Canis lupus familiaris: one gene and its partners. The protein of the gene in region 1 interacts with the protein of each later gene in a pairwise test. Links are inferred from orthologs where the notes say so. Each region holds a gene or a part of one and is shown in the gene's direction. Other genes may lie near its edges.

Evidence for each region.
Region 2: the proteins of NUDT18 (region 1) and RAB3IL1 interact in binary tests that used the Homo sapiens proteins (3 or more experiments, as listed by UniProt). The two-hybrid records come from large-scale screens. The link is inferred for Canis lupus familiaris from reciprocal best matches to the Homo sapiens genes NUDT18 and RAB3IL1.
Region 3: the proteins of NUDT18 (region 1) and DUT interact in binary tests that used the Homo sapiens proteins (3 or more experiments, as listed by UniProt). The two-hybrid records come from large-scale screens. The link is inferred for Canis lupus familiaris from reciprocal best matches to the Homo sapiens genes NUDT18 and DUT.
Region 4: the proteins of NUDT18 (region 1) and GLUL interact in a two-hybrid assay, tested with the Homo sapiens proteins (2 studies listed by BioGRID and IntAct). The two-hybrid records come from large-scale screens. The link is inferred for Canis lupus familiaris from reciprocal best matches to the Homo sapiens genes NUDT18 and GLUL.
Region 5: the proteins of NUDT18 (region 1) and NT5C2 interact in binary tests that used the Homo sapiens proteins (3 or more experiments, as listed by UniProt). The two-hybrid records come from large-scale screens. The link is inferred for Canis lupus familiaris from reciprocal best matches to the Homo sapiens genes NUDT18 and NT5C2.
Region 6: the proteins of NUDT18 (region 1) and HSD17B14 interact in binary tests that used the Homo sapiens proteins (3 or more experiments, as listed by UniProt). The two-hybrid records come from large-scale screens. The link is inferred for Canis lupus familiaris from reciprocal best matches to the Homo sapiens genes NUDT18 and HSD17B14.
Region 7: the proteins of NUDT18 (region 1) and NADK interact in a two-hybrid assay, tested with the Homo sapiens proteins (2 studies listed by BioGRID and IntAct). The two-hybrid records come from large-scale screens. The link is inferred for Canis lupus familiaris from reciprocal best matches to the Homo sapiens genes NUDT18 and NADK.

The regions. Positions count from the first base shown.
Region 1 is NC_049246.1:35,306,235-35,310,484, forward strand, and holds the start of NUDT18 (8-oxo-dGDP phosphatase NUDT18), read left to right. Parts: upstream 1-1,450; 5' UTR 1,451-1,539; coding exon 1,540-1,701; intron 1,702-2,579; coding exon 2,580-2,793; intron 2,794-3,038; coding exon 3,039-3,634; 3' UTR 3,635-4,250. UniProt on the Homo sapiens protein: Mediates the hydrolysis of oxidized nucleoside diphosphate derivatives. Hydrolyzes 8-oxo-7,8-dihydroguanine (8-oxo-Gua)-containing deoxyribo- and ribonucleoside diphosphates to the monophosphates. Hydrolyzes 8-oxo-dGDP and 8-oxo-GDP with the same efficiencies.
Region 2 is NC_049239.1:55,107,790-55,111,780, forward strand, and holds the start of RAB3IL1 (guanine nucleotide exchange factor for Rab-3A), read left to right. Parts: upstream 1-1,191; 5' UTR 1,192-1,286; coding exon 1,287-1,438; intron 1,439-3,589; exon of another isoform or gene 3,590-3,679; coding exon of another isoform or gene 3,680-3,690; intron 3,691-3,790; exon of another isoform or gene 3,791-3,843; intron 3,844-3,991. UniProt on the Homo sapiens protein: Guanine nucleotide exchange factor (GEF) which may activate RAB3A, a GTPase that regulates synaptic vesicle exocytosis. Promotes the exchange of GDP to GTP, converting inactive GDP-bound Rab proteins into their active GTP-bound form.
Region 3 is NC_049251.1:14,855,282-14,859,498, forward strand, and holds the start of DUT (deoxyuridine 5'-triphosphate nucleotidohydrolase, mitochondrial), read left to right. Parts: upstream 1-1,417; 5' UTR 1,418-1,509; coding exon 1,510-1,678; intron 1,679-2,197; coding exon 2,198-2,333; intron 2,334-4,217. UniProt on the Homo sapiens protein: Catalyzes the cleavage of 2'-deoxyuridine 5'-triphosphate (dUTP) into 2'-deoxyuridine 5'-monophosphate (dUMP) and inorganic pyrophosphate and through its action efficiently prevents uracil misincorporation into DNA and at the same time provides dUMP, the substrate for de novo thymidylate biosynthesis.
Region 4 is NC_049228.1:15,608,790-15,612,222, reverse strand, and holds the end of GLUL (glutamine synthetase), read left to right. Parts: coding exon 1-82; intron 83-261; coding exon 262-461; intron 462-1,048; coding exon 1,049-1,367; 3' UTR 1,368-2,933; downstream 2,934-3,433. UniProt on the Homo sapiens protein: Glutamine synthetase that catalyzes the ATP-dependent conversion of glutamate and ammonia to glutamine.
Region 5 is NC_049249.1:15,716,918-15,720,417, reverse strand, and holds part of NT5C2 (cytosolic purine 5'-nucleotidase), read left to right. Parts: intron 1-1,218; coding exon 1,219-1,270; intron 1,271-1,396; coding exon 1,397-1,457; intron 1,458-1,586; coding exon 1,587-1,763; intron 1,764-2,341; coding exon 2,342-2,578; 3' UTR 2,579-3,500. UniProt on the Homo sapiens protein: Broad specificity cytosolic 5'-nucleotidase that catalyzes the dephosphorylation of 6-hydroxypurine nucleoside 5'-monophosphates.
Region 6 is NC_049222.1:108,190,964-108,194,901, forward strand, and holds the start of HSD17B14 (17-beta-hydroxysteroid dehydrogenase 14), read left to right. Parts: upstream 1-1,138; 5' UTR 1,139-1,170; intron 1,171-1,507; 5' UTR 1,508-1,619; coding exon 1,620-1,707; intron 1,708-2,220; coding exon 2,221-2,259; intron 2,260-2,419; coding exon 2,420-2,502; intron 2,503-2,971; coding exon 2,972-3,038; intron 3,039-3,938. Other genes in the region: PLEKHA4 (pleckstrin homology domain-containing family A member 4), read left to right, coding at 189-301, 622-881. UniProt on the Homo sapiens protein: Catalyzes the NAD(+)-dependent oxidation of L-fucose, yielding L-fucono-1,5-lactone, which rapidly converts spontaneously to L-fucone-1,4-lactone. Can also act on D-arabinose and L-galactose, with lower catalytic efficiency. Does not use NADPH.
Region 7 is NC_049226.1:57,246,770-57,250,996, reverse strand, and holds the start of NADK (NAD kinase), read left to right. Parts: upstream 1-1,427; 5' UTR 1,428-1,492; coding exon 1,493-1,575; intron 1,576-2,386; exon of another isoform or gene 2,387-2,495; intron 2,496-4,227.

The DNA.
Region 1 (4,250 bases):
GAGAGACTACAGCTCTGTGGTGGTCCTGTAGGCATATTTCATGACAGTGGGCCTTTGTGTGGCGGCAACAAGTGCTGTGGCCAGGAGGGCTCACCCTGAGGGCTGGGCTGCCTGGTCATGATGACCTGTACAACAGTCTACAGAGCTCCTCCCAGGACGGTTCACCTCCCTGACAACCCTGTGGAAGAAGGGCTATTATGAGCCTACTCTACAGATGAGGAAACTAAGACCCACGACTCATCCAGGGGCACAGGGCCAGCCAGTGAGCTGCGGCTGGACATCTGGTTCCAAGTCCAGTACTTTATCAGCACGTTCCCAAAAGGAAGCTGGCAGGAGGGAAAGGGGAGACCTAACTGGGGATGAGGAGCTCTGATTCGGCTGCCTTTATAGTTTCACTCCAGCTGGCCCTGCCTTCCTGTCCTAAGAGTAGGTTAAAGGAAGCTCTGAGGAGGAAAGGTCAGTCTGGGAGAGAAGTAGGAACTCGCCAAAACAACCCACACCCTGCTCTCAGAGCGCCAGGCCACCAGGCCTTGTGAGCTCTGTGTGCGGGGAACAAAGCCGAAGGAGCAAGACCTGGTCCCTGCCCTCCCAGGGCTCTCAGTCTGCAGTGGAGAGGGCCCTAAAACTGCGTGGGACATGCAGCGGGCAAGGGGCCAGGACACCGATGAAGGTTGGGCTGGCTGATTACAGGCCCTCTTTCTGCCCCAAACCCCCTCCTCCCACCGCCAACCACACCTTGACCACCCCAGCCCTGCTCCCTCCCTCCTCTGAGCACCTGTCACACCTCTTGCCCAACCCAATCATTTAGCACTTGGCTTATAACCCTTGAGGGACTTTTCATTATATGTCTATGTCCACCTCCCCAGGGTCAGAATCCCCTCCAAGGCAGGAGCTAATGCTCCCCCTGCCGTGGAGACATGCGGTACATTTTTAGTGAAGAAATAAGGTTATCTGGGAAGTGATCAATTTGGGCAACGCCACGGTAGGCAGGCGTAAGAACGGTGGGTCCAAGCCGCGGCCCCCTCCCCCACCCTCCGGCCTCCGTGACGTCATCTGGCTTGTTGTGACGTCACCGTCGCCGGCTCCTGTGGCGCTCCGCAGCCCGCAGGCTGGATGACGTCATCGTCGGAACCCGCGCCGACAAGCGCTTGCTGGAGGAGTTAGAGAGGCTGGCGACTGGAGATGCGCGGAGGGAGGCGAGGGGTAACTGATGGAGACGCAGAAGCCCGGCGGCGGCGCCCAGCGCCCAGGCGCGGCTCCCGCCCCAGGCCCGGGTCCTACCCGGCTCCTAGCGGGCTCCCGGGCCGGCCCCGCCCCGCCCCGCCCCGCCCCGCGATGACCGACGCGAGCCAGCCAATCCGCGCAGGCCGCGGTGACGCCTAGCCAATCAGCGGGCAGGGCTCCTCGGGCGCTTCCGCGTTCGCGAGCGCCGGGCCCGGGTCGGCAGGGGGAGGGGGCGAGGGCGCCCGACCGCAGCCTCGCCGGCGTCCCGGCCTGCTCACTGCGGCCGCTCTCCGTCCTCCGGCCCCGGGGGACCCGATGGCCTCGGAGGGCCTGGCGAGGGTGCTGGCGGCGCTGCTGGGGGGCCAGGGGGTGAGCGTGCACGGCTATGATTCGGAGCCGGCCGGGGAGCCCCCGGCGCCGGTGCGGCTGCGGAAGAACGTCTGCTACGTGGTGCTGGCCGTGTTCCTCAACGAGCAGGTGAGCGCAGCCAGCCCCGGTGGGGACGGAGGACCTCCCGGCAGGAGCCACCGCTTCCTAGTGCGTGGTGCTCCCCAGTTTTGCAAAGCACTCTCACTCACACTTGCATCCGAGCCTTGAGCCTTGTGCGGCCCAGCCCTGAGCTGATCCGTCTATACAGAAGAGGAATCTGAGGCCCGGAGCCTGTTTCTTCCCTCCCAGTAGGCCTCAGTGTCTCGAGAGGAGGCCTGCCTTGTTCCTCTTCTTTCCCCAGAATCGAGCACAGTGCCTGCCCCTAGTGTGCTCAAAGATGTGCCCAGTGCCTCAGAGACCTCCTCTGGGTCCCACGAACAGTAATGGCATGACCTGCACTTGTACTCGGGCCTCCTGTCCCACTGTGCACTGCTCTTTTCTGCTGATCCTTGTACAAGTTGCTGCCATGACAGCTAGAAGGGGCCAGGGCCATAGGTAGGAGTTGTATGGGCTTGGGGGGTGGGTATTTCAAAGCCTAGGCCCCAGTGGGAGGCCCTGCCACAAGCAGTTGGTAAATCACCAGGGGAGATGAGAGAACTACAGAGACCCATGGCATATAGACGGGAATCAGTGCAGGACACATGGCAAAGCTCCCTGTGGGGCCTAATCCCCAGCCCCTGAAACAGCTCCCAAGAATCTTCACCCCTTTCCGAAACAGAAGTCTGAATGCAAAGAAGGGTAAATTACAGACAGCTGCAGGCCCCCAGGCACACAAGGGCCAGTCCCCTGGAGAGCTCAACGGTTTGAGGTGTGCACCAGTAAGGGGGTGTTGGGTGGCTGTGTTTGAGATAGGATCTCACCCCCGGGGCAAGGGCAGGTTTGCAGCGGAGCTGTGGTGGGGGTGAGGATCCTCTCTCTCCCCTCAGGATGAGGTTCTACTGATCCAGGAGGCCAAGAAAGAGTGCCGTGGATCATGGTACCTACCCGCGGGGAGAATGGAGCCTGGGGAGACCATCGTGGAGGCCCTGCAGCGGGAGGTGAAGGAGGAGGCCGGGCTGTACTGTGAGCCCCTGACATTGCTTTCTGTGGAGGAGCGGGGCCCATCCTGGATCCGCTTTGTGTTCCTCGCTCAAGCCACAGGTATGGCCCACCTGGTGGCAGTGTTTGTCAGGGGGCAGTTGACACCTTTCCCCTCAGCTTGTCCTCTGGTGCGATGAGCCCCTATTCTGTCCAGGACAAGCCTGGCATCTCCAGATCCCAGCCCCCACCAATCCCATTACCCTGGGTCAGGGTTAGGATCCTTGGGTGACCATTTACTCTGCCGGACCCAGCACTTCTCTCAACAGAGACCCTTTCTCCCACCCCATCCTCGACATCTCCTCCAGGTGGAATTCTCAAGACTTCCAAGGAGGCAGATGCAGAGTCCCTGCAGGCTGGCTGGTACCCACGAAGCTCCCTGCCCACCCCGCTGCGAGCCCAGGACATTCTGCACCTGGTAGAGCTAGCTGCCCGGTACCGCCAGCAAGCCAGGCACCCTCTTCTTCTGCCCCAGGAGCTTCCCTGCAGTCTGGTCTGCCAGCGACTCGTGGCCACTTTTACCAGTGTCCAGACAGTGTGGGTGCTGGTGGGCACAGAGGGGATGCCTCACTTGCCCATCACTGCCTGCGGCTTCAGTCCCATGGAGCAAAGGGGTGGCATCAAGATGGCCATCCTGCGGCTGCTACAGGAATGTCTGACCCTGCACCATTTGGCAGTGGAGACCAAGGGGTTGCTTGGACTGCAGCACCTGGGCAAGGACCACGCAGATGGCATCTGCTTGAATGTGCTGGTGACTGTGGCTTTTCGGAACCCAGGCATGCAGAGTGAGCCCCCAAAAGTTCGGGGTGAGAACTTTTTTTGGTGGAAGGTGATGGAGGAAGACCTACAAAGCCAGCTCTTACAGAGGCTTCAGGAATCATCGGTCGTCCCAGTCAACAGATAGGAAGGTGCCATCGTGGTGCAAGGAGCCGGGCACCTGTGCCCCACCCCCTACCGTGGCTCTGCCTTCCTAAGGGAGGCAGGAGGTTGGCAGTCAGAAGTCTTGTTGCATTGGGAGCAGGTGATTCTCTTAGTTCTCAGGGTAATTTCCTTTTCTGTGGAACAGGTCCCTACGCTGCACCAAAAGGACAGTGACTTTAACCAAACAAGGAGTTCAGAGCTCAAGGATCTAATTACTCTGTGGGCATGATGAGGGCACTACTCCCTAAGGGGAGGAGAGAACTTTCTGAACCTGAGATGGCATCTACTTATCATTTTCCATGCTCCCCTCAGTAAAGGCCTACATCCGGGTTCCAGGTTCTTAGGCACTTAGAACACAGACTGGGTGCGGGGTGGGGGTGGGAATGGGGGGGGTCATTCCAAGGGAGTGGGCCCCTTGCTGAGTAAATAGGTGGTACTTGCTTTGCCTTCCTTCCTAAATGTGTCTGTGGGGAGGAAGTGAGCAGGAAGCAGGGGACTGCATCAAGAAGGAAGCTCCTCCCTTGACCCACCACACCCTCCCAGCTCTTCCCAGACAGCAAGTGACCTGGGTGGGCAGGCTTCCTGCCATCCACCATAGC
Region 2 (3,991 bases), on another chromosome or scaffold:
CTGGTTTGCATTAGGCTGAGAGCTTGGAAGCCCGGAGCCTGAGTGGGAGATATTGTTATCCGCAGGGTAAGGCTGGCGGGGGTGTGACTGCTCTGCAGGAACTGGCAGCTTCTCCCCCCTCGGGAGGTCGGAGGCTGACAGGAAAGAAGAGGGAAAGGGAGGGAGAAAGCCAGAGAACACTCATGTCAAGCGTGGCAGATCCTTCCCCAGTACAACTTCATTGAAGACAGTTGGTCCCCTTTTACAGATGAGGAAACTGAGTCCCAGGGAAGTGAAGGGACTTGCCTCAGGTCACACAGCCATAGACCAGCAGAGCTAGGATGAGTTTTCAAGCCAAATGAAGCAGGGTGGAACGTTCAAACCATCCCGGTGGACTGATGCTGACCGCGTCCCAGATAAGGGGGTGCTGAGGATTTGGAGGTCAGTGTGGGCCAGCCTCCGCCCACAGGGTCACTCAGTTCTTGTGGGGGTGTCAAATAGGTCTACTCCGTCATGACGCAGGTGGATATGTGCCTGAGGCCTTCACCCCTGTGCTATGGGGGGAAAACAGTCCTCAGGGGAGAAGGCTTCCTGGCGAAGGGGTGGTATAAACAAAAAAGATTTATCTGCAGGGGGTAGGACATGCGCAGAGGGCGTTGTGTGAGGAAAGGCGTGGTGTAGGGCATGTCTGGGCAGTGGCAGCTGGCCTGGTGTGCCTTAGAGGGTGAGATTTCCTTATTATAGTTGGGAAACTGAGTCACAGAGAGAGTGACATGCCCGAAGGCTCATAGTCTGGAGTGGGGTAGAATCCAGCCCATGTGACACCGGGCCTGTGTTCTTAACTGCTACACTGAATTGTGCCTTTTTATTGGTGGTTACAAGCTTTAAGGGGTTATTGAGGCCAAGGATGGGGCCTGGAGCAGGCAGAGGTGCTCGCCCAAAGCCACACAACCAGCTAGTGATAGTGTCTGTGCTGGATCTTTCCAACCGGCCAACCTGGCCAGGCAGGGGACAGGCAGTTCCTCCTTCGGGCCTCGTGGAAGCTGGGGGTCTCAGGGAGTCTCACCTTCCCTGGCCGGGCACCCAGGGAGAAGGGCCCCAGCACCTTCTGCTGCCCGCTGAGCCATAGGAGTTAATAATTATGGGGCTTCAGGAGATAGAGGCTTGCTGGGAGGGGCCTTTCTCCCAGACTGCTGCTCCTCAGAGATAGCAAAGGTTAGCGTGAGGCTCTGCGCAGGGTCGGGGAGAAGGCTTCTGCCACCTGCCTGCCTGGCGGTCTCCAGAGGGACCCTTGGGCTGGTCCCAGCATGGATGACCCCAAGGAGCACAGCAGGTGCCCTGCCCGAGGATCATGCCCCGTGTTCCTGGCACTGAGCTCAGGGGCTGTCCGCTACGCCCCATCGGTTCTGGGCCCCGCACCAGAGGGTAACTTGGAAGAGGAGCCCTGGGACACAGACAGGTGAGCCAGTGACCTGGGGCACAGAGGAGGGGTTGGCAGGTGGGGAGTCTTGCCACTCTGGAGAGACATTGGGGGAGGAGGGAGGAAGAAGCCAGGCTTGGGACAGGGGACGGACAGAGAACTCTGAGGAATTTGATGAGCCTCCTACAAGGTCAGTGTTGAGGAGTGGACCCTGTTGTCTAACTTGGTGTGGTACAGACACAGAGTCTGAGGATGAGAGATGGCAAGACAAATACCCTGAGTCATACGGTTAGCCGAGGAGAGACTGAAGTCAGAATTGGGGCCCGGGTCATCCAGGCTGGCAGTTTCCTGTTCCTCATCTGCCTCCAGCCAAGGCTCTGTGGTCAAGGCTGTCAGGTGGGGAGGGGGAATATGGGGAGGGTGGAGTAGGACCATGGTTTGAGGCCTTGACCTTTTACTTCTCCCTCCCCACCTGTTGGCCAGGCCCCTAGGAAGCTTCCCTTTTTGCCTGACAGCATACTGCTGCAGCTTCAAGTGAGTTCTCTAGTTTCTGGGCTATTTAGAAAATTAGTGTAAGGAGGGGTCACAGCCTCACCGCCCCTGGCTGTGTGACATGGGGTGAGTTCCTGAACTTCTCTGAGCCCATCCTTCTCAGCTGAGTAGAGCTCACTGGGCTGTGGGAGGAGCTAGTGAGGCCTGGGAATTGAAGGTCACTGGATGTATAGATGATGTGATATTTTTAGGTAGTAACTGGGATGACAGCATTCCCAGAGTGGTGACCCCACATTTGTCCTTGGAGGCCTCACTTAAGGGCCTCCCACAGCCCACTGGCCCTCCCCTATCCTGCTAAGGACTCTTCCTCTGGGGCCTTCGCCTGGGCTGACACCCCCTCCATGCCTTATCTCCCACCAGTCTGGGTTACCATGACTTGGACCAATCTTATCTCCTGCCCCGGCTTGTGAAGTCTTGGAGGGTGAGGGCCCTGTCCTGAGCTCCTTTTCTTCTCCCCTTCCCCTAAATAATGAACAGAGCAAGGGCCAGGAAGCTAGCTGTTGCTCAAGACTTAGATGGTATAGGATTCAAGTCAAACACAATGACATCTGCTTTGGGCCAGACCCTGGACTAGGCTGGGATAGGTAGAGAGCCCCACTGCACTGAGATGGCCCCTGCCCTTGGGAAACCACAGTCTGAGAAACAATTGCCCTGTGGAGTGAAGGGCATTGGAGGTCTGGGCAGAATGATTCTGGTAAGTCAGAAGGGATGTCACAGTGGGCTGCTCAGGTTGCTGGCACCTTGTGCAGTGAGTGAGTTAGCAAAGCATGAAATCCATGTAGCCTATCCTCCACTCACCAAGTCCTACACCTTGGCATGGGCTATGCTCATCTAGGAAGGCAGGACCATCTTACATTTTTGACAAAGACACGTGCACTTAGCAGAGTGTGTCCAGGGTGGCCCTGGAAGTGGAAGCCCTTGCGAGTGTCTCCCACCCCCACCTCCTTAGCACATTGGAACCCCAGGATGACAGGGCATGTGTCTGTGCAGTTTCCCTTTGGGTCCCCAGGCTTTTGATGGTCCATAGTTTGTGCTCCGGAGGGACGGATGAATGGATGACCGAACCAACAACAACAAAAAAAGGATGAATGAAACAAATGCGTGTCCCCAGTGACGACCTGACAAATTCAAGCCTGGGGTCCCAGCTCTGTGGACCTGGAAGAGTCGTGTCCTGAGTTCTGGTAGCATCTGGAAGGGGCGCACCTTCTTTCTCCTGGCCTCCTAGGCCTCTCTAGACACAGAGGGTGCGAGCCACGGTCCCTGGCGGAAGGTAAAAGGAGCTAAACTCCTTGGATCCCGCCCCAGGCTGAAGACGAGGCCCGCAGTCCGGGCTCAGGGCCGGAGGCAGAGGGGTGGAGGGACCGGAAGACGAGTGGTCTGGGCTGCAGGGAGAGGTTTTGCAGAGGACCTAAAACCAGACCGCTGTGCGCTGTGCGTGGTGGGGGTGCACCCCGGGGTGCATCCCCCCCCCCCCCCCGTAGATGCTGGGCAAAGGCGGGAAAGGGTGCGGGGGCGGCAGGGGACCCAGGCGACTCCGGGGCGGGGCCGCAGGACGCGCCGCCCGCGGGCTCCTCCCCTGCTCCGCCGTCACCCGTCCCGGGGCGCGCGGCCGGCGGAGGGCGGGGCCGGGCACGTGTCCTCGGGCCACCCCTCGGCCACGTGACCTGCCGGGTCGGGGGACTGGGTGCCCGGGGCCGCGGGCGGGCGCTGACGGGCGGCGGCGCCGGGATGTGGAGCGGGTAGGATCGCGGCTCCGCTCCCGGCTCGGGCTGCGTGGCCTCGGGGCGGGCGCGCGCGGGCAACCGGCGGTGGAGGTGGGAGGACGCCCCGGGGCGGGGGGGGGGACCCTCCTGGCGTGACCGGCGCCGGCTCCCAGCGCATCCGCAGCGCAGGTGAGAGGCAGCCGGGCCGGGGGGGGGGGGGGGGGGGGGCAGGGGAGTAAGTCCGGGTGCGCACCTGGAGGAGGGGACCTGCGAGCCGGAGGAACCCCTGAGAGCGGTGCAGGCGGGAGAGGGAGCGCACTGTCGCGGTCCCTGCAAA
Region 3 (4,217 bases), on another chromosome or scaffold:
AGAGCTCTTTCATTCATAGAATATTTATGAAGCACTCTTTTGAGCCAGGCACGAGGCTAGGCCCCAGGAATACAAGAGGGAACGAAGACATATATGGTCCCTGCCCTCCGGACCTTATGTTTACTAGAGCAAATAGACAATGGGAAAAAATAAGTAAATAATGAAAGAAGTACAGATTATACTGATGTGATTAGAAAAGGCTATTGTGCTAGAAAACGGTGGTGAGGCATCTCCCATCAGGTGGGAGCTGTTTAAAGGCAGGGAAGAGAGTATAAAGGGTATAATCCATAACCTCATCCCGAGGAATTCCAACATTTGAAAGGAGCCAATAAAAAGCTGCAGAGGCGGGGCCTGTAAGGCACAGCAGGAAAGTCTTATCTTCCTCAGCAAAACCCTATCTTTTTTTTCTTTTTCCTCAGCAAAACCCTTTTTTTTCCTTTTTCCTCAGCAAAACCCTTTTTTTTCTTTTTCCTCAGCAAAACCCTATCTTTTTTGTTTTTTCCTCAGCAAAACCCTATCTTTTTTGTCTTTTTCCTCAGCAAAACCTTTTTTTCTTTTTCCTCAGCAAAACCCTTTTTTTTCCTCAGCAAAACCCTATCTTTTTTTCTTTTTCCTCAGCAAAACCCTTTTTTCCTTTTCCTCAGCAAAACCCTTTTTTGTTTTTCTTCAGCAAAACCCTTTTTTTTTCCTCAGCAAAACCCTTTTTTTCTTTTTCCTCAGCAAAACCCTATCTTTTTTGTTTTTCCTCAGCAAAACCCTATCTTTTTTTTCTTTTTCCTCAGCAAAACCCTATTTTTTTTTCTTTTTCCTCAGCAAAACCTTTTTTTTTCTCAGCAAAACCCTATTTTTTTTTTTTTGTCATTTTTCTAAAACTGCACCACAGTTTGCATTTATTTTGACAAGCTGCGTGACATTCTTGGTTTTCAGATGTTTGCAGCAGTTCTGGAAATAACTGGACGCTCATCCTCGAAAACCCAATTTACGATTACCTAGAAAGCCATTTACACATCCCTCCGGTGAGTTATTCCAGGGTAGCCGCGATCTCTGTTGGAAGCATAGCCACTGGGGGGTCCCCCTCCCCATCTCTGCTCCTCTGGGGCGTAGGAAGCGGCGCTGGCAACCGAGTTAGCCGTCCTGGGGTCGTCGCGAGGCGCGGCCCCCGCCCTCCTTCACGGGGTAACCGACACGCCGCGCGCGGCGACTGCACCCGCCCCGCGAGGCGGCTCCGTGCGCTTAGCACCTGAGGAGCCACGGCCGCCGGCGGCGCCGCCCCAGGTCACGCAGCAGCGCGCAGGGGCCAGGCCCCGGGAAATCCCGGGCCGCAAATCGACGCGGGCCGCGGGCGCGAGGCAGACGTACGCCGCGCCCGGGGCGCCGGGGCCTGCGTGCGCTCCTCGTCACACGGCGGCGTGACTGCTTCCGAGGTCATCCCAGCCGGACGCGACCTCAGGGTGCAGGCCCGGCGCGCCAGCCGCGGCCGACGACCAGCCGGCGCCCGAACCTCGGGGCATGACTCCCCTCTGCCCTCGCCCCGCGCTCGGCTCTCTCTCCTCCACGTCCTGGCTCCGCTCCGTGTTTAAGGACGCGCGCGGCGCCGCGCCCAGAGGAGAAGCCGCGGGGCCGCTCTTCCGACCGCTGTCCAGCACCCGCAGGCCGAGCCGGGGCGGCTGCCGCGCCAGTAACGTCGGGCGCCTGGCGGAGCGCGGGGAGGCTGGGAGCGCGGCCGCCGCCCCCCGGGCCGCCCGGGCAGTGGGCGCCGGGAGGCCGCCCCTCCCCCCCGCCCCGGCTCCGGGCGCTGCGGCCCCTGGGAGGGCGCGCAGCCCCTGCGCGTGCGCGTGCGCGTGCGCGCCTCCATTAGGGCCCCCAGTGGGAGGGGCGGTTGCGTTCTCTTGTGGGACCCAGAGGCCCCCGAGGCTGGCCGCGCTCGGCTTGGTGCTGTGCCCTGAGTTGCAAAAGCTTGGAAAGGCGCAGTGGTTTCCCATATCCCAAACCCGCTTCGCAAGAAGGGTTTCCAGCCCCAAATTTGAACGTCGCCTCCCCTCTCAGCCGGGACAGTGGGCTCGTCCGGGGCGGTGGGCGGGGCGAGTGGTTGCTGGCGGGAGATTTAAAATTCTGGCGGGCGCGCTCGTCCTGGGGTCACTCGTTCCACTGCTGCTCTCTTTTCTCCCGTTCTGCCCCGCCATGCCCTGCTCTGAAGCGACACCTGCCATCTCCCCCAGCAAGCGGGCCCGGCCTGCGGAGGACGGCATGCGGCTGCGCTTCGTCCGGCTCTCAGAGCACGCCACCGCCCCGACCAAGGGGTCCCCGCGGGCCGCGGGCTACGACCTGTACAGGTGAGTGGGGACTTGGGCCGCCTTCTGCCCGCGCCATCCCCACCCCACGAGAGAAGGGCCAGCTCTGCAGTTCTACAACTCCCAGTCACGTTAGCCTATATTCTTGCCATCTGCTGCCACGGTGAACCTTTCACTTAAAAGATTGCAGAAACAGGGCCGCAGGATGGCTCAGTCGGTTAAGCGTCTGTCTTGGCTCAGGTCAGCATCCCAGGGTCCTGAGGTCCAGCCCACTGCGGGCTCCTTGCTCAGCGGGGAATCTGCTTCGCCCTCCCCCTCTGCCCTTCCCCCTGCCCGAGCATGCTCTCTCTCTCTCTTTCTCTCGCAAATAAACATCTTAAAAAAAAAAAAAAGATTACAGGGCAGCCCGGGTGGCTCGGGTGTGCAGCCCCGGGTGTGACCTGGACACCCGGGATCGAGTCCACATCAGGCTCCCTGCATGGAGCCTGCTTCTCCCTCTCCCTTGTCTCTGCCTCTCTCTCTCTCTGTCTCTCATGAATAAACAAAATCTTTAAAAAAAATAAATGAAAATTTAAAGAAAGATTACATAAGCAAACTCTTTTTGCATATATGTAGGGTTTCTGACTTTTTCTAATGCTGAAAATGTTAGCTTTCCTCTTTAGCATAAATTCAATCAGGATTTGGGACAAGCGTGCAGAATGATAACTATATATATATAGTTTATATATAAACCTCCACCAAAGCATTATTTGTTTTGTAGCATTTATCTATCGTACCCATTCCTAAGTGGAAGGTAATGATGAACAAGGTCTGACGTGGCTTTTAAGGCGTGGCCTGAGGGTGATGCACTGCACCAAAGAGAGAAGCCACGGGGAAGTCTAGGTGCTGAATGTGAAAATAGCTGGGGAGGATTAATGAAGGGTGCTTCTGCCTCAAAGGAATTGTGAAATTTCTCTATATGTCCATATTCAAGTTCACCCCAAGGACTGGGGATGTTAGAAACGGCAGGAATATGAAATGCAGCGTGAATATCAGTAATCTTACTATGCTTCCGTTTGTTCAGTACTTTTTACCTCTACTAAAAACTGTATTTGTGTGGTTTTATTTAATCCTGACAACAGTCCTGAAGTAGATAAGTGCTACTTACTTTTTACAGGTGAGGGAGTTTGTGAAGAGCTGAGTTTATTGCCTGAGGGTTTGAATGTAATAAAATTTTTGACTCTTAATTTAGTGCTTTTTTTTTTTTTTTCCCCTTGACTACTGTGTCAGGTCTTAGAAACATTAAGGTAGGTGACCAGTGATACTAGGGGGAATGAATGCGTGTTTATACATTACTAAATCCTTAGGATTTATTTTTTTTTAAGATTTTATTTATTTATTCACGAGAGACACACACACACACACACACACACACACACATACAGAGAGGCAGAGGCACAGGCAGAGGGAGAAGCAGGCTCCATGCAGGGAGCCCGACATGGGACTCGATCCTGGTCTCAAGGTGGCGCTAAACCGCTGAGCCACTCGGGCTGCCCCTTAGAATTTACTTTAAAGCATCCCAGGTAATTCTAATGTGAGAACTATTGATCGGAGTCCTAGGGAGTATAGGAGAAGGGTAGAAAGAAGTGTGTGATGATAGTAATGAAGACAGGAAAGAAAAAGAAAAATGAGGTATGGTCTGTTATCGCTGAAAAGGATGTATTCAGTCCCTTCGTTTTCATGAATAAAAGTGGAGTGATGTCTGGGCATTGCTGTGAGTCATACGAGAGACTTAGATTTAAGATACTTAGAATGTCTTCCTCGTGGGGCAGCCCCGGTGGCTCAGTGGTTTAGCGCCACCTTTGGCCCAGGGCGTGATCCTGGGGTCCTGGGATCGAGTCCCATGTCAGGCTCCTTGCACGGAGCCTGCTTCTCCCTCTGCCTGTG
Region 4 (3,433 bases), on another chromosome or scaffold:
TATCGTGGAGGCTCACTACCGGGCCTGCTTGTATGCTGGCATCAAGATTGCTGGGACAAACGCTGAGGTCATGCCTGCCCAGGTAAGTGACTTGTTCATCTGTAGGACCTATGGGCAAGTGGGGACTTTTGCCAGCACCCTCGTTTGCCTAAAACTTAAGCGGGATTGGAATAGAGGTGAGAAAAAAGCACGGTTAAGAGCTTCTGAACCGGGGTAAGAAGTTGGCATTATTGTAAAGGCCAACTGTGTTGTTCTCTCTAGTGGGAATTCCAGATAGGACCCTGTGAAGGAATCGACATGGGAGATCATCTCTGGGTGGCCCGTTTCATCTTGCATCGTGTATGTGAAGACTTCGGAGTGATAGCAACCTTTGATCCTAAGCCCATTCCCGGAAACTGGAATGGTGCAGGCTGCCACACCAACTTCAGCACCAAGGCCATGCGAGAGGAGAATGGTCTAAAGTAAGTGCTTTCTCTTGATGGGGCCATCTTTTCCTTGCTCGCGTACTTGCCAAGGGTCTGATGTGTTGGGGCTAAATGAGCCAGACTTCTCCATGTGGACTTGAGCTTTTAGCACTTGGCTTTACAAGTGGTTTTCTAATTCTGTCATTTCATTCCTATTTGAAAAGTACCAAAAAATACTCTAGGAATCGAATCCAAGGGTAGCGATTGGAAAAGGGGGGACCTAATTTAATTAATGGGTTTGAAAGTCTTCAATAGGAAATAACTTAGTAACAATAAAAAGCATGTGAATGAACTTAATGCTTAGGGGTGGGGGAAGGTCTTTGATAAGGATCTTTTCCTTTAACAAATACCATGTAGTGAGTGTCCAGCACCATCCTGAGGCACTGGGTGGGATGCACAGGTAAGAAGGCAGAGTTACTGCCCTGGTGGAATGTTTGATCTGTGGGGACCATGTTTTGGTGAATTGTAAGCAGTCGTTGATAGAGGAGCCCCTCCATTCTTAGATCCATACCTGGCCCCCTGCCGTTGAAGGGCAGATTTCCTGGTGGCAGGTTGGACCCCACCATCTTCTCCATTTACCCTAGGTACATTGAGGAGTCCATTGAAAAACTGAGCAAGCGGCACCAGTACCACATCCGAGCCTACGATCCCAAGGGAGGCCTGGATAATGCCCGGCGCCTAACTGGATTCCATGAGACATCCAACATCAACGACTTTTCTGCCGGCGTGGCCAACCGTGGTGCTAGCATCCGCATTCCCCGGACTGTCGGCCAGGAGAAGAAGGGTTACTTTGAAGACCGTCGCCCCTCTGCCAACTGCGACCCCTTTTCGGTGACAGAAGCCCTCATCCGCACATGTCTTCTCAACGAAACTGGCGATGAACCCTTCCAGTACAAAAACTAAGCGGACTAGACTTACAGCCATCGAACCCCTCCTAATTAATTCTCCATCCTGCCTCCGTGTTTGCCCCTCTCTTGACTGTCCTAATAGCAGTAACTCAAAGGGCGGAATATCAAGGTCTTTTTTTATTCCTCATGCCCAGTTAATATCTCTTGCTTTCTTTGGCCAGGATAGAGGGGTCAAGTTCTTAATCTTTTTACACCCCCCCCCCTTTTTTTTCCCTGTCACTGAAAGCTGTCTAGTATGTTAGTAGGGAGGGGGGTAGGGAGACATAACCACTGTTCCCATTTAATCAGGTGTGTTTGTCCAATAGGCGTAGCTATCCGGACAGAGAATAGTGTTTGTGAAGGGAGGGGGAGGGCTCTTTTCTTCGAGGTAGCTGAGTGTTGAGGGTGGGGAGGGTTACTTACTCTGGGGTTAGGTTAGGATTTCCCCTCCTGGTGGGAAGTTCCACTTCGAATAAGGTTATAACCAACTTTCTATTAAAAAAGTGAGACTTATGAGAGAATCAGGCGGGAATGTGCCTCCCGTCCTCCTGGTGCAGGGCTTCCCCTATCTGGGGCGAGATAGCCCTCACCTGAAGACAAGCTCAGTGTAAGGATGGATTGACCTACCTTAGCAGAAAAAGTTCTTATTGCTTGGTCCTCCATTTATAACACAAAGCAGAGTAGTATTTTTATATTTAAATGTAAAAACAAAAAAAATTATATATATGGGTGTGCAGATATGTGTGGTTTTTTTCCTAAAGGAGGAAAAACATTCTGGTCACGGAGAGCCAGATTTGAGGTGAATAGTCTGGAAATAAGGATCTCCTACTGAGTGGAGACTTGGTATTCCCTCACTGCCACTATAGGGCTCCCATGTGCCCTGCCCACTCTTCTGCAATTGAGGGTAGACACCGGTCGGTTGACAGGTTGACAGGTGGAAAGCACGTTGTAGAAGGAGGAGTCACCTGAGCCCCGTGGCTTTGGTTTAAAAGACACACATGTACACACAGAGGTTTAGAAATAAAGAGTTGGCTGGTCAACTTGCATGTTACTGACAAGGGGTTATTGGGATTATTTTCTGATGGGACTAGCATGTCACTAAAGCAGGCCTTTTGATATATTAAAATTTTTTAAAAAGCAAAACAGAAGTTTAGATTTTAATCCTGTTGTAGGGTTCTTCTGAGTCTTCGTTGTTACAGAATCACCCGTTTGCTTTGGCTGTCTCCTTCCTATCTCTGCTCTTATGAGGACATGGGGACAGCCCTGGAGTCAGAACACTTGTCATTTTGTATCCTGGTGTCTATTCTGAGTGTGAGATGCTCCTTTCCATTGTTAAGATTCCTGAGGCGTTACTTTTTCTTTTATAATAAAATGCAAACCCCATCTTCATCCCTATGTTTTCCTGGCTGTGTCTGGCTGTTTTCATGTTGGCTGCAGCCGGCCGGCGGTGGCTTCCTCTTGCCATGACGACTTCTAATTGCCATGCACAGTATGTTCAGTTAGATAGCTCTTCATTGTAAACAAACTGTTAACTGCCCAGCGCAGCTCTTATAAATCAACCTAACATTTATAAGATCTCTTCCGACTCGATTCTTTGTGTTTCTTTTTAAATCCCTGCGTGCCTTTTCATTCTTTTTCCTACCAAAAAAGGGGATTTTTTTTTTTTAAAGAGACAAGCTCAAATTCACTCACTCTAGGAATTTTTAAAACTCTGTCTTAAGTCATGTTGCCAACCAGCTCGCTTTTGTACTTTGAGTGTTTGGAGTCTCAGGATGAAGGCATATCCCAGCCCTAGAGTTTTGGAGGATGGTACAAACCCTAGCCCTCTCCTCATGTGCTCCAGAGCTTGGTTTTGACTTATGATTCTATAACATCGTCTTAAGCACCCTTTTTAGTTTTATAGCAGCCTGAAATGGTTAATGTGTTATCAAGGGCTCTCACCATCCCTACTGGTCTTGATTTCATCCTTACCCACCACCCCCGAGGTGTTGCACCTCTTGGCCCTGCGGCGACCCTGATTGAAGCCTTCCGAGGCTGGCTGGGTCAGAGCCAGCTAGCCCAGATATGCCCTGGACATTGCTC
Region 5 (3,500 bases), on another chromosome or scaffold:
AAAGCGGGGGACAGAGGTGGTCCTAAGATATTTAGATAGCTTTCTTCTAGCCAGGTAAGGTACAGAACTCCAAAATTTGAGAAAATAGTAGAGGTTATCTTGTTCAGACTTCTTGACTTCCTTCAGGGTTAAGCACAGAATGTTGCTATCCTAAGTTATATTATTGTAGCAACTAAACTGAATTCCACATTTCTCTGTAGTCCCGTATTTTCCAACCATACCTACTAGTTTCAGTTTCTCTGCCATGAGCCTATATCTGTGATTTGAGGGCATTGATGGCTCTGAGTAGTCATATGTCCTATTTTTTTCCCCCTGCTCTTCTGAGAAGTAGAGAATGAGGCCAAATTGTATTCTCTGAACTGTACGCTGAATTGAGCCATATGTAGGTCCAGTTACATAAAGTTGTTTGACACGTAAGTTCTCCAGCCAGTCCTTGCTAGCATTACCCACAGTGTGGGGAAAGGTACTGCTTCAGGTACTTAACCCAGCTCTTCTACTTAATATCTTCATGCCCTTAGAAGTTACTGGGACACCTGTTTCCTCAAATTTGAAAATGAGGATAATAACATACTTCATTGAGACTTAACTGCGGTGTAATATATGTACAAAAAAGTTACAAGTAAACAACGTTTCTCAGTCATGGCACCTCATCTGACCCACAGAACAGAGAAATTGATTTGTGTTTTCAGTTTTCCCCAAAATAAATAAAACTTGTTACACACAACAGATCCATTAGGGCTAAATTCTTTTTGGGAAAGCCAGGTCGAGAAAGATGGAACACTTTTAAAGCATGCAACAGATCCTAGCTGTTGCTCGTCCTTGGCGGTATTTTCTAGCCAGCCCTTCATCCCCATTTTCAGCCTTTCACCAAGGGGATTCTATAAATCTAGTTGATTTGTAAGCTCAGAGTCAGCATCCATTTGGAAGGGAGAGTTGTAGTGAGTGGCATTCAGGTAGGAAGAAAAGCAGTTAAGGAAGAAACCATGACTTTCATCTGCTGCTAGATCTCAAGCAGGCCAGGAGTGGGTTTTCCTAACACTGGAGAAGGAAGTCGTTTTGTACACTTACCTGTAGCTTTACTTTTCAACCATGTCTACAACCTTCTAATTAGTTCCAGCAGCAGTTAAAAACTGAATGCTTTTTATTTTTTATTTTATTTTATATTTTTTAAACTGAATGTTTTTTAAAAAACATTTTTCTTTCCCTTCTGAACTTTAGCACTTTTCGAAGAGCTTCAGAGCTTGGATATTTTCTTGGCTGAACTCTACAAGTAAGTTTCTGGATTCTCAAAAGAAAAATTTCTTCCCTAAAAACCATCTACCTCTTTGGGAATCACCTAGGGGTGTAAGAGACATCTTTTCTAGAGATTTTCAGTGGTGTTTTCTTTTGTTTCTAGGCATCTTGACAGCAGCAGCAATGAGCGCCCAGACATTAGTTCCATTCAGAGACGTATTAAGGTATCCAAATGGGATTTGGGAGAAAACTTGGAAGATCAAGTTGTGATTTTTTTTATTTCTTCTATTATATAGGGATTGGTGTATAGTCAGCAGTCAATAACTATTTGAATTCAATCTTTTCTGTTTTAGAAAGTAACTCATGACATGGACATGTGCTATGGGATGATGGGAAGCCTGTTTCGCAGTGGCTCCCGACAGACCCTCTTTGCCAGTCAGGTGATGCGATATGCTGATCTCTATGCAGCATCTTTCATCAACCTGCTGTATTATCCATTCAGCTACCTCTTCAGAGCTGCTCATGTCTTGGTGAGTTAATACAGTCTTATGCTACTATTTTCAATTAAGATATATTCTGTAAGGCTGAGATCTGCAACCAGGTTTATAGGGTGGTACAAGAGAGTTTCAGTCTTTCTAATGTGCAAAAGCCCACAAGCAGGTTGCATGGTTGCACAAAAAGGGGTCTTTGAGAAAGCAGGATCAAGATCAAATGTTATAGGGTATAGGTTTACCCTGAAATGTATATTAAACGTTGTTTGAGTAACGAAGACTTTCCTCTTTGTAAGCATAAAAACCGTATTTCTCTCATTTAGTGCTATGTTCTGATACTGACCTATAGTTCAGGACTGGTTTTTGCTGCGAAATAAGAATCTTTCTCCCTCATCTTTTCTAGTTCGCAGCTGAATGATTTGGACAGTTTTGAAGAAGAGAAAGAAAAAGATAGCTTTAGGTAGTTCTAGAAAGACATTATTTCAGTATCTAAATTGGCTGGGCCTCTGATCCATTGTAGACATGTCTCTGCACAGCCACCTTAAGCGGGATAAGAGATTAGGATTTGGAAAACTGTTTTACTCCACTTGCTTTCTGAATCTCTGACTTTGTTTTAGATGCCTCATGAATCAACGGTGGAACACACACATGTAGATATCAATGAGATGGAGTCCCCTCTTGCCACCCGGAACCGCACATCAGTTGATTTCAAAGATACCGACTATAAGCGGCACCAGTTGACCCGGTCGATTAGTGAGATTAAACCCCCCAACCTCTTCCCACTGGCCCCCCAGGAAATTACACACTGCCATGATGAAGATGATGATGAGGAAGAGGAAGAGGAAGAAGAATAAGGAGGAAAACCAAAACTGAGCATCCATTAAACAAGTCTGGCAGGACTCACAGGAGCAGAGGATGGGTTCTAGTGGTGGGTGGGGAGCTCCATCAAAGGTACATCTGGAAAGTTTCTGAAGACTTTAAAATATTTTAATCATAGAGAGATACTTCTTAGTTTTGTTTGCACTCTTTGCAGATGGTTCAAATTGTAATGGAGTCTGTATTGAAAGAAAGTAAGGGTAAAGCTGGGCTGAACTGCATGCAGATGGCTCCAACGTGGCTTGTGACACTGTTTCCTTGTCTTGTTTCATCCTCAGTATGTATTGGCTACACCAGGGTGGTGAAGAGTCTCAGAGTGGAGCAAGGGTGATGGGAAGAGGTGATCCAAAAATGATGTTATGTTACAAATTGTGCTCTTACTCCAAAGTCCATCCTGAATTTTTCCGTGCATTACACAGTATTATATATCAGTGGAGAAATATATTGTTCCCATTATCAAATGTAGTCTTCTGTTCAGGTCAGGGTTCCTTTTATGAGCTTTCAAGTGTCCTCTATGCCTGTGGGCAAACTAGGGGCTGCAGTGGCCTTGCACAAGGGTTTGCTTTGCTGAAGGCTGGTCTGGAATGCACTGCAGTGATTCTGTTTTGAGGTAAAAGTCTTCATCTCTTCTTATATTTTTTTGATAGCAGAGATGCTTATTATCCAAAAACAATCTTTTTCTCATCTGGGATGAATCTGTAGAAAGAATTTAAGCTGAAAGAGGACAAAGGAACAAGCTCTGTGAAAAGGAAAAGGAGGAACCTCCTTCTTTCATTAGAGCATAACTGAGTGAACTTCTTAGTGTGGGCTAGTGTGGCTCATGCTCCCAGAGTCCCAGCCTTCTCTGTCCTTTAGGGTGGATTGCTATAGTTCAAAGTCAAGCTTTAGAGGATGGGAAAA
Region 6 (3,938 bases), on another chromosome or scaffold:
ACAGAGATAGAGGGGCAGAGACTTAAGCAGAGGGAGAGAGGGGCAGAGACTTAAGCAGAGGGAGAAGCAGGCTCCACGCAGGGAGCCCGATGCAGGACTCGATCCCGGGACTCCAGGATCACGCCCTGGGGCAAAGGCAGGCGCTAAACCGCTGAGCCACCCAGGGATCCCTCTCTCTTTTTTTCTAGCCCCAGGAACACCACCCCTTATTTGCCGACAGCCGAAGGTCACCGGGAGCGAGTCCTCAGCCTCTCTCATGCTCTGGCTACTGAGGCGTCGCAGTGGCACAGATTGATGACAGGTGAGGGGCTGGGGGACCTTGGACTCCTGGGTTTTAGGGAAGAGGGAGCCAGAGCCTGGAGTCCTTGCTGGTCGGAGGAGTGTGAGAGCTGCTGGGAATCCTATGTCTGGATGAGAAGAGTGCCGTAGAGGGCTTGGGAGTTCCAGATCCCAGGCAGGAGGGGACAGGGGTTCAAGACTCCTGGGTCAGGGGGGCGGGGGAAGGGAGTGGGGCCAGACCTGTGGGTCTGAGGGAGGATGGGACTGGGGGCTCGACTCCTCGGTCTGAGAGGAAAGGGGTCCCCAAGTTTGCCATTCTCACTTCCCACTCGTGCTGTCTAGGTGGAAACTTGGACTCCCGAGGAGACCCTCTTCCCCCTGCGCCGCCGCCTCCGTCAGACCCCACCCCCCAGGGGACCTCGCCCCCGAGATCTCCAGTGGCTAATTCCCACTCAGCCGGGTTCTCCCGCGGAGGTGGGGAGCGCGGCGCAGGCCCCGCCTCCTGGGAGCCCACGTGGGAATCCGGGACCGCCCCCCCGGCCCTGACCCAGGAGGAGGGGGCGTGGCCTCTGCGAGTCACGCTGCTGCAGTCCAGCTTCTGACCCGCCCCAGCGCCGCAGCCAATCGGAGCGGGAGGGGCGTGACCCGGGGGTACCGCCCCGAGACGGGAGCCGCTCTCGGCGCCGGGGGGCGTGATCTGGTCCCCGCGGTGGCCTAGGGTGGGAGACGTTTCCAGGGCCAAAGTTTGGTTTTCCCAACACTTGTCCAAATTCGGATTAAAACTTTGAACTTTTAGTCAATAAATTTCTGTCTGTTTGGGGTTGTGACACTGGGGTCTCTTCAGGGCGGAGCTGGAGCCGTGGCCTCCTGCGTCCTGACGGTCTGAAACCTGTAGGTCTGGAAAAGGAGAAGCAGGGCCTAGATTCCTGGGTCTGAGGGAGGAGGGGGTTGGATGCCATAAATCCTGAGTTTGAGGAAGGAGGGGATTGGGGGCCCAGACTCCTGGGTCCGAGAGTGGAGGGGCTGGGGACCCGGACTCCTGGGCCTGAGGGTCTGAGAGTAGAGGGGCTGGGGGCCTGGGCTCCTAGGTCTGACGGAGGAGGGGCTGGTTGCCTGGGCTCCTGAGTCTGAGGGAGGAGGAGCTGAGGCCCCAGACAACTGGGTCTGAGGGAGGAGGGGGCGGGGGCAAACTTCCAGGCTTCTGGCCTTCCTGGCAACGCCCCCCCAGGGCCGGCCTTCCAGGATCCAGCCCCTATTTATGGTTCTGCTCCACGGCCTCACTGGACTGTGGAGGTGGAAAGAAGCAGAGTGAGTGACAGGGAGAGTCAGACAGAAGCAGGATGGCAACAGGGACGCGCTATGCCGGGAAGGTGGTGGTTGTGACAGGAGGCGGGCGCGGCATTGGAGCCGGGATCGCGAGAGCCTTCGGTGAGTAGGGGTCTGGCGAGTCAGGGTCTGGCTACTTGGGGAATATTAGAGATTGGGAGCGGAGGGACCCTGGGAACTAGTGGGTGTGGGAACTTCAGTACTGGAGTCAAGATTCTTAGCCTATAAAAACCCAATTTGCAATGTTAATGAAAGGGTTGACAGCCTAAGCCTGGGGCCTGAGCTTTTGGCAGTTCTCCAAAAATGGTTACTCTCTTTTTCTGGGTCTCAGTTATTCTATCTACAAAGTGGGGGTGGCTGGGGGAATGTGGCTTGCAGGTTTCGGGTTTATTCTGGAACCCAGGGATGGGGGCTCAGGAACCCCAGCAGGCACCTACAGTGGCCAAGGAGAATATGGGTCAAGTCTTCTGCCCTTTGCTCTAGAGGAACATCATGGGACTTTGGGGTCATGAGGGGAACGTTTGGAAAGATGGGCCCCACTCCAGGTGGCCACAGGAGGGCAGCAGAGGCCTTTGCCAAGATCTGTGCTGGAGTAACCTGTTTTTCCATTCTCAGTGCAAAACGGGGCCCAAGTGGTTATCTGTGACAAAGATGGTGAGTGAGCGTCCCTTGGTCCTCACCCCAGCCCCCTCCTCCCTCACACCCAGGAGTCTGGGCCCCCAGGCCCTTTCCTCTCTCAGACCCAAGAATCAGGACCCCAGCCCCTCCTCCCTCAGACCTAGGAGTCTGGACCCCAGCCCTTCTCTCCCTGCAGAGTCTGGGGGCCGGGCCCTGGAGCAGGAGCTTACTGGAACTGTCTTTATCCTCTGTGATGTGACCCGGGAGAAAGATGTGCAGGTGAGCTATTCTTGACCCTGTCTGGCCCCAAAGACTGCTGCTCCGGACTTTCCCTGATTCTGCTGGCCAGGTTCTGGGTCTCCTGCAAAGTTTCTCCTTTATCTCTCACTATGGAGCTCTTGTCACACCTGTCACATAGACTGGAACAACAACAACAAAAATCCCTCACAGTGGATCTCCTTCTGGAAGAGTCTTCCTCTCCCGCCTCTGGGATTCTATCCGTTCACTTCGGTCAATGTCTCTCTGATGTCCACCCTCTGCCCCCCACCCGGACACCAGGTCTCTGCAGTGTGAATATATCCAGCCCTCTGGTGATTTAGGGGAAGCCCCCACTTCCTGTAGCTCCCTTCACCTTGGCTGTGATCCACCTCCCCCTTTGCTTTTTTTTTTTTTTTTCCCCTTTGCTTTTGGGAGTCCAGGATCCTCAAGGCTGGGTGCCAGCCCTGCTCACTTACCTCTTTGTCCTCAGACTCTCATTTCTGAGACTGTCCGTCGTTTTGGCCGTCTGGATTGTGTAGTCAACAACGCTGGCTACCGTGAGTTGTGTGGCCCACAGGCCATTCTCCCTTGGTGTCCACCCACCTCCCCGCTTCCATCCCTTCCTTTCCCTCCCCCTCAGTTCCCCATCTGTCTTCTCCATCCCCTTTCCCATCCCCCTGTCTCCTTGGATGGGACAGTACAGCCCTGGAAGGCCCTGCACTGGGGCTCACATCCTGGCTGGTTCCATCCTGGCCTCAGTTCTTCTGTTTCTAGAATGGGAATGATGATCATGAACAACAGAGTTGTTGTGGGTATTAAATAAGATAAACTACTCGGCCTCATAATTATCACAAATATCTTGAAGAAACAGCTCCCATCTTGTGGTCTCAATTTGCTTATCTATGAAGTGATGGCAATGACCCTTCCCTTTGCTGATGACTATGAAGGTATCCTCATGAGTGTGGTTTTTTAGGTCCTCTTCAAGGTCCCCTTTGAAGGGGAAATGCTGTCAGTTTAACGACTTACCCTTCATAAGAATCTCTCATGTTGGTAAGCCAGGGCTCAGAGAGATGAACTGATTGCACTGAGGTCACACAGCAAGGCCTGTCATAAGAGTGACATCCTCTTCAGCTGCACAACGTGCCCCCCTGCTTATTGTTGGCTTTTTTTAAGATTTTATTTATTTATTCATGAGAGACACAGAGAGGGAGAGGCAGAGACACAGGCAGAGGGAGAAGCAGGCTCCATGCAGGGAGCCTGATGGGGGACTCCATCCCGGGTCACGCCCTGGGCTGAAGGCAGCGCTAAACCGCTGAGCCACCCAGGCTGCACAACCCTCCCACCCCCTCCACCGCTGCGTATTGGCTGGGCAACTTTAAGCAAGTGGCTCACCCTCTCTGGGCTGCATTTTCCTCCTTATATTGTTGTAAAGATCAAAGAGATGGCTAATACCAGTT
Region 7 (4,227 bases), on another chromosome or scaffold:
CTGGCTATCCTGGTGAGTGGCTTACAGTTTACTCCAAGGTCTTGTTCCCTGCTGAGCCGTGTGCCTGGCACTTAGCGGGCCTGCAAGAACAGGGGCTGCCCCGCTGCAAACAGGACGCTGCCACATTGGCAATTCTAGACCCTGGCCCATGGGGAGGAGTAGGTAAGGCCAGGGCAAGAGGGGCTGGACTTGTCCTCACGTGCTGGCTAGAGGGCTGAGGCTGGGGGATGGATGAGATGACTTCTGCACACCCCAAGACGCCCCCCTCCTTCACAAGAAGCCTTGGCCCCTCCGTGCCACCCCTGTCACCCAGGCTCCAGGCCACTTCCCCTTCTCAATGCTGGGCAGCCTCTGTTCACCCCCCTCTCACCCCTGCCAGGCACAGTTGAGGCCAACTTCCCTATGAGCTGGGAGCAGGACTCTGAGGGGAACCCCTTCCATCCTAGAGCCGCCTCGCAGGCTGCACTCAGAATCTAGGACCACCACCCTACCTGAATGAGTCCACCTCTGAGCAGGCAGCCTCTGGCTCCACCTTCCATAGCCCAAGCTTCCTTCTGCCACCTAACCCACCCACTCTGCTGTCCCCCATCATTCAACCTTCAGAAGACAGTGCATCTAGGTTTTAGGAATCTGAGGCTCAAAACAGGAGTCACAAGTCACATTTCAGAAAAATACAAGGAAACAAATACTAGTGCTGGGAAAGGTTACCTGAGATCCTCTGAGGCATAACCCTCCGCCCAGCCCAAACAAGTCTGCCCTGCACCCATCCCCCACACTGGCCTTTGTCCCTGCTGCTGGTCCTGCCCTCTCCCCATCAAGTCTGGCTTATTCCTACTCCACCTTTGGACTCAGTTTAAGCAACACCTCCTCTAGGAACCTTCTGGATGCCTGAAGGAACCCTTCCCAGCATTGGCTTCTATTATTGCTGGTCAGCCCTTGGGGATCTGGTGGGACCAGAGCCTGCTGGGAGAAATTGCACAATCTGCTCAGCTGAGGAAGCCCTGTGTTCTCATCTCTGAAATGGGGAAGCACTCCTGCCTGAAGTCTTGAGGTCTAGGGTGGACGGAGGCTTTCCATTACTACCACACCTGCACAAGTTCCCTTTAGACAGAGGCACACAGGAAGTGGCCTGCTGTGTGACCTTGGCTACTTAGGAGACAGGCTCTCCTGCCTTGATGCCTTCTCTTTAGACTTCCTGCTCTAGAAGGATCTTGGGAGGTTTGGCCCAGTGCCTGGAACATGGTTAAGTGCTGGATCAAGCATTTGTGTTATTCTGTTCATGATCATATCCAAAATACACAGCTCAAAAGGCTTCTGTGGGTGTGGCTGGCTGTCACTTTAGAGAAGTGGTTGGGTTTCCAAAATAACCAGACGGGGAAGTTGAGAAATCCCCAGAGGTTGAGAAATCCCCCCAAAGTCCTGACAGCTTTGCCCCCCTTTCTACTCACTCTTGGTGATCCACTGCCCAGTTGTCCCAGGAAAGCACTAAGACATGTCCTGTCTTCTGCCCACCTGTGTTTCAAGTCTCTGGACACAGGGCCGGGAGACCCCACCCGAGAAGACTGACCACAGCAGGTACCGGGGCAGTGGAAACGCGGCAGCCAGGCTGCTGCAGAGGGCGCCGCTCCACACAAGGTGGGGGGAACCTGAGTGTACCGGGGAACAACGGTGGGCACCGCCCAACAGTGCCCTGTCCCAGGAGCCTGGCACCCTGTTGGGACACTCGACTGCTGCGTGGCCTGGGGCAGCCTGCGGCCCCACCGGAAGCTATAAAGTGGGCACCATGTCCCTGGTCCCTTTCCTCTCTCCTCTCTGGGTCCTCTGGGGGGGGGGGGGTATGGCAGGTCATCTGGAGGGGCCCCCTTTGACATCCAAGGCGCAGCGCCCCTGTGGTGGCGCCTTCTAAGCAGATTCACAGCCCGTCGGTTGTGGAATCCTAAGCGGGTGCTGCCGCCACTCGAGGGGACCCGGAGCCAGCACACCCCGCCCGCGATGCAGGCGAGCGGGGGCGGACGGGGGCAGGGGCAGGGGGCGGACCCACGGACGCGCCTCCAACTTGCGGGGTGAGTGCGGACCAAGGTTCTTCTCGGCGGCCGCCTTCGGGGTCGCGGCAGCAGAGAACCAACCTGCCGGGAAACTCCCGCCCCTTGCCCCGGCTCCCCGGCCCCCTGGGCCCCAGCCTCCGGCCCCGGGTCCTTGCGGGCGGATCCCTGTGCCTGGGGCGCGGCGCATGTGCGGAGCGGAGCGCGTGCGCGAGGCGGGGCGCAGGCGGGGCGCATGCGTGGGGCGGGACGCGCGTGCGCACTGGCTGCATTGCTGCTCGGCGGGCCGGCGCCGCGGTCCCGGCGGCCGTGGGGCGGGGGGGGCGGCCATGGGGCCGGGGGCGGCCGCGGCGCCGGGGGCCGGCTAGCGACCGCAAGCGGCGGCGGGGCGGCGGGGCCCGCGGACTCGGTCCGGAGAAAGGACGGCCCCGCAGGCGCCCGGGGCAGCGAACGGTGAGTGCGCGCGGCCCCTCGGCCCGGCCCTCCGCCCGCGGTCGCCGCCGCCCGGGGGCCGGGGCCGGTCCCAGGGGCGCGGGGTCGGGGGCTGGGACGGCCCTGCCCGCCTCCCGGGTGTGGGCCGGGGGGCGCGACCACCGACCTCACCTGCGGCGGTAGCCTCCCGAGTCCGCGGGCTAGCGGGCCCCCGGGGGCAGGTCGAGGTTGTCAGGGGGCGACCGGCAGCGGCGGCCGCGGGAGTCTCGGGCCGCGGCCGCCCCAAAAGGACGGGTGTCCTGGGCTTTGGTTCCGAGTAACAGGTTACTTTTCCTTGCCCATCCTGGGCCGCCGTCGGCCTTCCCTGAACACTTGCCAGTCCGTCCTGGGTGGCGTCCCAGCTCGGAGAGACGGGGGTTGTTTTCCGTCTTTCGGGACGACGCCCTTGAGGGACTCGTTCCCCGGAGTTCTGTCCCCGGGGCCCTGTGTAAGCGGGCACAGCGAGCCCTTCCCTCATCCTGACCTTTGCCCCCGCCCCCGGGGACTTGAGGGCAGGTGCACGTGCAGCCTGGAGATGAGCCCCCGCGATGGTTCTGACTTGTGGGCAGGTCTGCGCTGCCAGGGACCCCGGAGCCCCGCGTGCTTCTACCTGACGGTGGAGGGTCGCCGTTGGGGGGTACGGGTCTCCTCCGTAGAGGAGAGAAAACCGCATTCGATTTTATTGAGTTTCCCACTTAAGGAAAGGTAGGTGTAACCTGCAGAATGGAGAGGCAGATGTGTTTTGATGGTAGGTGATTGCTCCGCATCACAGGACACAGGATGTCCCTAGGCACGGATGTTAGGGAGGGAGCTGGAGGAGCTTCAGGAGGCGGTGTGCAGGGGACTGTGCACTCCTACCTGCGGGGCCTCCTGCAGCCCTCACTGCCTCCTGTGTACACCTGTTGACAGGTGCTGCTGCTTTGGCCGGCCCTGGGCTAGTGGGGGTCACCTTGTACCCCACCATCTCATTTCTGTTTGTGCTGGTGGCTTAACCATTTGCAATACCTCCCAGACCCACGATTGTCAGGCTCCTACGTTTAACACGTGGGAACAGGTAAACACTTGTTTGGACAGTCAGCAGAAAGTATTGAGAGAAACACAGTGAAGGAGGCAGCTCACACTGCAGCAGGGGAAGGGCTGGGATGACACCAGTCTTCATTCATACAACACACCTTGTTTTCCTTACCTGCTCAAGGAAGGGTGTGGCCACTTCTCCCTAACAGCCCCCTCAGGTCTTCTGTTCACTTTATGGGGTTGCAGGTCAGGCTCCTGGTTTACGTTGCCAGCATGGTTTCCAAAAGATCTTCCTTGGTTCATATGCTGCCAGTGCAGATGCCCAGTTTTATCATGTCCTTGCCAGCTTTGAGCAATATTGGTGGGGGAAGAAGGGAAGGGCTATGGATTTGTTTCGCACCTCAGTGTCAACTAGTGAGGTTCAATGTTTTCGTGTCTCTGCCACCAAATAAACTTTCCTTTCTCATTTAGTATCTTCAACAAATACAGATTGAGAGCTCACAGTGGATGTCATGTGCATCATATCTAGTCTGTGGGCATGTGTACGACTTGTGTCCTGGTGTCTCACTGCCATTTCAGTGTGTCCCCTCCCTACCATGTGTGAGTTCTAGGAAATGTTGCCCAACACTTTTCTCCTAATGAAACTTCCCAATACCAAAGTTGTTTTTTGGGGGTTGGGGCGCCTGGCTGGCTCATTCGG